Sus scrofa: one gene and its partner. The protein of the gene in region 1 interacts with the protein of each later gene in a pairwise test. Links are inferred from orthologs where the notes say so. Each region holds a gene or a part of one and is shown on either strand. Other genes may lie near its edges.

Region 1 (2,807 bases):
AAATCCCTATTATTTTATAGGGTATTTACTATATTTTTAACACAGAAAATCTCTAGGAATGAATGTTACCAAGGCTGTTTTCATAATTCTATCTAACTCAACTCGTAATGAAAATCTCATTTTAATTTACAAAAGTAGTGTTCCACTTCATTTGGGGAGAGAGATGGGAATGTTGCATTGTTGCCCTCATTCTTAAAGGAACTTTCTTTGCATCCTTTCAACATGCTTCAATTTTATCAATACTACATTTTATGTTTTTCAAACAAGTATTAACTCTGCAATAAAGAGATGTAGTTTTTTTTTAAGACTGAGTTATCGCTGAATGGTTCACCTCTGTAAGGAAAATTCTAAGTTAGGATCCTCTCTTTGTATTTTTTAATACAGTATCTATTGTGTTTATGTATAATGCTAATCTATCTTTCCGTGAAATCCACTTTCAAGTTTCATTGGTTTAAGCCAAAGGACAAAATTCAACAGGACTGTGCATTTCTGAATAGAAAGGCATAAGATAAAATGTCTACATTTCAAGACCAAAACATCAATTTCTATTGCTTTTTTTCTCATGTCTATATAGTGTCAATGACTAAATTAAATTACAAGACCATTAATGGATTCAATCATCTTTATTAACCTATCAGTGTTACATTTTATACATAATATCTAGTTGTCTTTTCAAAGGAATCTACTTTAGTACATCATGTTAATAGTAAAAAGCCAAGTAAGATGACTGAACTTCAACCTAGCATTTTAATATCCTCTGGACAAGGCAAGCTAGAAAGTCAATCACTTTGCACACATTTAAGAGTAGTGTTCCAAAGTAACTAGGAAGCTGCTACACTTATTTTAAGCAAGGGAGGAAAAGAACTTTCATTTTGGTCTTTTTTTTTTTCCCAGCAAATTATACTCTCAATTAACAGCAACAATAAAAAATGCTCTGCTTTTTAAATTTCTGAACTTCAATACAAATTAAAATAGTAGTATTGGAGTCTTTTGGGAGGCAAAGAGCTAGCAGCTACAATCATCAGTGTAACTGAGCCTCTTTATCGGTAACCTGGTCCAGGTTGGGTATAGCCCTGACCAAAGGGAGGACGGCTACGTGCATAAGGGTTAGACCCACTTGGAAGAGGGGTCATGGTACTTCCAGGAGGTGGAGTAAAACCTGGTCTGGGCTGATAGGCCCCGGGTTGGCTTGGAGCCATTCCAGGTTGTGAGGCAGGGGCCACAGTGTAATTAGTAGGCTGGGAAGTCTGGGTAGTGTAAGTCTGTGGAGGGTAACTGCTCGCCTGGTACTGCTGTGGTGGTTGAGCAGGCATCTGCTGAGGCTGGCCAGAAAAGGCAGGAGCCGGTGCCTGGGAAGTTGGTTGCTGGCCATATCCCTGGAACTGCTGAGGTTGTTGGGGTCCGGTCTGCTGACTATAGCCTGCTGAAAAGGCAAAACATGCAGATCTTATTTTTTCTTTTGGTAAACATTTTTCAGAGAATTAGTCTTACGGTTATGGACCAAAAATGATGAGAAATTTAACAAACTTAATCCTGAGTACTTTTGTAACAAGTAGAGTAGTAGATTCCATATTTCAAGACCACATAGTATCAAAGAAGTGTTTTCCAGATAATTTCTTAAATCCTCTAAAACTAAAACTACTACATATATTCTTCTACTGCAACTTCTTCTAAACTATATAATCCCTGAGAGCAAGTGCCTATTCTAGCATAACTCCCAGTATATACAGTAGATGCTCAAATGATAAGTGTAGAAATTAATTCAAAAGCTAGTTATTAACCTGGTTTTGAGGGGAAGCCTTAAAACAGTACCAAATAAAAAAAACATTGTAGAGAATATTAAATGAAACAATAGTGCTACAAACATCTTACTGTGCTAATGAGATGCTTTAAGGTTTATTCACACTATAAAAACTAAGCCATTTAAGAATAAACATTAAGTGCCCATTTTCACAATTCTTAAAATCTTTTTTGCCTTTATAATTCAAACTTCTGGCTTAGCAGTAACAAGGTAACACATGAAAGCATATCATATTGCCCCACAAAAAGCAACATCTATATTCATTAGTTACTAGGATGTAAAATTTTGTAAAAGAAAAGGTCTGCTTCACTAAAAACTTTTATCTCTACCATGAAACACACCTGCAGCTACTTGCAATGAAACCTCTCCATTGACTGGAATCCTGTCAGCATTAAATACCAGATACATAAGAAAATTATTAAAATATGTACAACCCTGCATTAAAAAAAATAAAAAGGATTGAATGAATTTGAGTATATTCTGAACTCACCTTGAACCTGGGTTCAAAATTTACTCATGAAAGAAAGCTTTTTGACATAGTCCATGAATAAAACTGGAAAAGGTCACAGAGGGAAACTGCCAAACCAGCAGAGTGTCAAAGATGGTCCAATGTTACCACCACCAAGCAGAGTATTTAGTTGACTAGTTCCATATCTCCCAAATTCAAGTTAAAAGGACTAGCAGGATCAGAAATACAAAGATAATAATTTGAAAAGAACTAAACTTTACTCAGTGAAGACCCTGACTAAAATCATTAAGAGCAAGCTTAAATTTTAACAAGTAAATTAAATATCTAATGCATTTTACTCACGGTAATGTCTAAATACGAAACCAAAACTTTGAATGTCATACAATTTCTTCTATCCTCTACATAAATGTAAAGTGTTTTACTGTCTAAATTTTTGGAGAAACAGAAGGACTCAGCTTTTATACTGAAAATGCCTATTCAACTTAAGATCGTAACTGAAATCTAAACCAGCTTTTTAATAGAATCTTGGGACAACAA
Region 2 (4,420 bases), on another chromosome or scaffold:
CAGGGGCATCCTCGGGACTGATGGTCTCTCCATAAGGTGACTCAATGACAGGGGCACCAGTGCCAAGACCTGATTGGGAAGAAAGTACAAGAAAGTTAAGGAGGCAGTATAAAGAGCTAAACGATTTCAAGTATCTACTCTTTACAGAGTTGCTGTAAGACCCTGTTGATAACTTTAAATTTTCTGGAGCTGAGAAATAAGTGATTTTCAAGTCTCATATTTCTGTGGAGGAAAGTGACAGAGTGTATCTTCTGCTCTCAGAGGAAAGCTGGCACCAGGGTCACAGAAGTGAACAATATTAACTTAAATTAGGGGCTAGGCATATCCATTTCCTTTTACAAATCATTTCATAAGCAAAATGTTTCTTTTTTTTTTTTTTACAATTTTTTTTAATTGTTATTTCCCCAATACAATTTTTTTTTTCTACTGTGACCCAGTTAAAAGGGTTTAATTCTAATTTCAAAATGGAATTTCTGGATTCTGTTACTTCATGAAAAAAAAAGCCACGAGAATGCCTTGGTATCCTTACCAGTTATAGATCTGGTAACATAATTATAGGAGTGGCGGACACTAATGACAGACATAGTTAGCACTACTAACGGCTTCCTGAGCCTGTAATTCATCTTCAGCTGGAAATCAATTCCTTGGTAACGGAAGGTCTTAAGTCAACTTTACTTATTTCTCAAAGGTGTACACTGCCCTAATGCAGGCAGCTCTCAGATGGCTCAAATAAAGATGTTGTGTAGCTGAAAACCATTTCAGCAGATGCTAAAACATATGATTATGTGGCAAATCTCCATTGTTACATCTTTACTAACTCATGTTGCATACAGCTTGGGTTTTTACTCACTCTTCAGCTCCTCTTTGTTCTTTTCGCTGGCAGCATTGTCCACTCGAAGTGCTCTCCCACTGAATTCACGCCCATTTAGGTTTCGCATGGCACTAAGTGCTGTCTCCTGGTCTTGGTATTCACAGAAGCCATAACCCTTTGGTTTTCCTGTCTCCCTATCATATACCAACCTGGAGAGCAGAACCAAGTATCAGGCATGAATGTTATATACATGCAGGTTTTCCACTAACATTGCTGTGTTCTAATGTGGTTTACTTTAAGACAACCTTACTGCTCCGTGTCACTGAAATATTTTTTACACATCTTTCTAAATGGGAAAAAAAGGTAACTTTTAGGAGTTATCTTGTGGCACAGTGGGTTAAGGATCCAATGTTGTCACTGCAGCAGTTTGGCTCACTGCTGTGGTGCAGATTGGATCCCTGGCCTGGGAACTTCCATATGCCAGGGGTGGGCCAAAAAAAAATGTATCTTTTAGCAAAAATGAATGTGAATTATATGGTGTGTGAATTACATCTCAATAAAGCTGTTACAAACAAAAAAGAATTTTTTTGTGCATGTGAAAAGTCACCAATAAAAACTTTGCCATTATTACTAGGGGCCAATTTGTGGTGATTTTTAAGAAATTTCCACCAAGGAGTAAAAGGGGATCTCACCTGAAACTAACAACAGGTCCAACCTCAGAAAAGATGTCCTTTAATTGCTCTTCAGTAGCCTCATAAGGAATGTTCCCCACTAAGGAAGGAAATAGATAATATATTAAAATTCTGAGTTTGTAATCTAGGTCTTTAGTAAGAAAACATTTACATATATCACTGAAAATGTAACAACTGGTTCAAACACAACGTTCCTCCAATCCCGATTCCATTGTACTCTCTTAGACAAGAATTCAATGGTGTCTACTGACTTTAATTACAAGAGGAATAAACCATTGAGACGAAACACAAAAGGTGTATGCCCTAAGTATTAGTTCTTAGACTGAACTGACAGGTGTTACATTTTTCTTAAGTATGGTGAAAATAAATATTTAGGCATTGGTATTTACCTGAAAGTCTGCAAGTCATAAATAACTGCTAAAAATGTCAATATTATAATATATGAAGCCGGCTCCTATGCCAGTATTTCCACATATACACACACTCAAAGGAGAATGACCACGAATGTCGTAGAGGATGTTTAAAAGTTATTCTGAACTATTTTGTCATGTCCCTCCCAAAAGGTGCTTTAAAATCGCCAGATACTTTTAAAAATCAACTTATTTCGGCCTGAAAGATTGCTCAGAATAGACTCGACCCTCTTTAAAATTTCTCTGAATAGGTCTTAATCATTCATTCATTCATTTATTTACAGTTCACCTTAAGACGCCGGGTGGCCACTACCACTAACGACGAACTAAAATGTGAAAAGCAGAGGATGAAAGCCCTTATGAGAGGGCGGGAAGTGGACAGAAAGATCTATATCCTCAGCATATAAACTGTATTCTGGGATAGGGGGTGAGTAGTACGGGGCAGTTGCCATGAGCCCTCGCTTCTATATAATAATTGAGGCTCACGAAAGGAAAACGCATAGAAGCTGAACGCTAGTTTAACTTCCTCGGCCACATCTTGCAAAGGCTTTGAGGCCTCGGGGGAAGGGGAGCATCACTTTGCCCACGAGCCCACCAAGCTGGCCGCCCGACAGGACAGGCAGGTCGAGCGCAAGCCCGACCCATCACCGGCTCCTGCAGCGATTCATGAGATGCAGGACGGCATTCCTCGGCGTTCCCTGTCTTTTTCTCTCCCTCCCGGACGCTTGGATCCACCGAATTCCTCTCACCGAACACCGAACGTAGCGAACGGTCCACCGCAGGGTCTCTCACAGTCAAACCCGCCATCGCTCTCTTCCGGGGGCTTCCGGTGCGCCAGAGCACACTTCCGTACGGCGCATGAGCCCAGCGCCGAACACGCTTCTGTACGGCGCGTGAGCCGGACGCTTCTGAGCCGGCCGGACGCAGGGCCCCTCCCCTGGCGTCATTTCGTCATAGCAGGCGCGCGTCACGTCCAGGAGAGCGCTAACTCCCTCCCGGCTGGGCTCCAGCCTGAGAAAAACTACGTTCCGTGTTGGAGCTCGGCTAATTTGAAGGCTTTTAGTCTGCATAATTCTTTATTGTTCATTATTTTCTTAAGCTAACGCAAGTAATTGTCGACCACAATAACGATGGCGGCGGCGGCGGCTTTACCATGGTAACCGGAAAGTCGATAAACGCTGCGTCCCTTTCCTTTTAGTTCCGCCCTGTTAGGGGAGGGGAAATGCTTGGCCCCGCCCCAGCGGGGTGCATTTTTATCCTTTCTCAAAAGCTCTGTACCCACTGAGGGAGATGAGGAAACAGAGTTACGGCACCCTAGAGAATGAGGGGCACCCAATGCCAAAGCGCCAACATACTGAGAAGATGGGGAGGTAAACACAGAACAGACCCCGTCTGCTCTCTTAGCCTGTGGACTTCACGTGCTTGATGGTGAGGGGGCGAGGCCGTGGAGGATGTTGGCTGGCAGGGCATCAGAAAACATTAGAACAGGAAATGTAATTGGCTAGTAGTACGCAATTAGCAACTAAGTCATGATTTGAGCTCAGCTTGCTTTCGCTCCAGAGGCTGAATGCTTAAGTGCCCACCAGTATAACTCAGAGAATTTAACGACGTAACTCTTTTCTTTCTTTGCCATTTTTGGTTAGAGCTTAAGATTTGGTAATAGTGGATTGATGGCCCAGAATAATGAACCGCTGAAGAATAGGTTGAGGCACTTAGCCAGGGCATGTTCTGCCGTCAGCCATTTGTGGAGAATGGACTGTTGATTCTTTCACTTCATTTAACCACCCCTACTGTTTATAAAAGAAGAGGTATGTAAGGGCTATTTCCTAAGCTCGTGGTGTTTTATAATTGGGTTTCAGTTATAGGCCATGTGCTTGTGACCCCATGCCTCATTGCTATTGTCTATGAGGGTCTTCCCTTCATTGCCATACTCCCAGAGTGACACATTTCTTTTGCCTCCAAGTTGTAGCAGAATGAGGACAGGAGGTATTGACTGTTACTGTTGTAGGTATTATGACTGAACCTCAATTAGAACAATGAAGTAGGTGCTGTATGAAGAGGTAGGGGAAAAACTAGGAAAGATGCATTTCTACATAAATGGGACTATTGTTTTTTGGGGCTTTGAGTAGAAGAGAAAGAGTATGTAGTGGAGAATCAAATAATTGGGAAACCACAGGCAAGATTTGTGGCACATTGACAGAAAAAGTTTTGTGGAGAAGTCCTGAGTTCTTATCCAATTTTGTCGGTGACACTAAGAATATTAGACAATGTAGGAGGTAAAGCACACAGAGACATTCAAGACTGTGAATGCTCTGTGAGGACATAGAGACTTGAGTTCTTTCTCCTGGCCATAGAAGATCAAGCTTCCAAGGCCTGGTTAAGTGCTACTTCATGTTTGGTCCACATTTAAAGCTGCTCAGAGAGCCATGGAATGAAATTCCTCTTCGAAAGGCAGTAACTTCTGGATAGACATTATTGCACCAAAAAAGATCCAAATATCACTGTAG

What was found.
Region 2: the proteins of TFG (region 1) and CSTF2 interact in binary tests that used the Homo sapiens proteins (3 or more experiments, as listed by UniProt). The two-hybrid records come from large-scale screens. The link is inferred for Sus scrofa from reciprocal best matches to the Homo sapiens genes TFG and CSTF2.

Annotation. Positions count from the first base shown.
Region 1 is NC_010455.5:158,290,486-158,293,292, forward strand, and holds the end of TFG (protein TFG), read right to left. Parts: intron 1,424-2,807; coding exon 1,041-1,423; 3' UTR 605-1,040; downstream 1-604. UniProt on the Homo sapiens protein: Plays a role in the normal dynamic function of the endoplasmic reticulum (ER) and its associated microtubules. Required for secretory cargo traffic from the endoplasmic reticulum to the Golgi apparatus.
Region 2 is NC_010461.5:82,507,139-82,511,558, reverse strand, and holds the start of CSTF2 (cleavage stimulation factor subunit 2), read right to left. Parts: upstream 2,821-4,420; 5' UTR 2,721-2,820; coding exon 2,663-2,720; intron 1,583-2,662; coding exon 1,504-1,582; intron 1,021-1,503; coding exon 851-1,020; intron 70-850; coding exon 1-69. UniProt on the Homo sapiens protein: One of the multiple factors required for polyadenylation and 3'-end cleavage of mammalian pre-mRNAs. This subunit is directly involved in the binding to pre-mRNAs.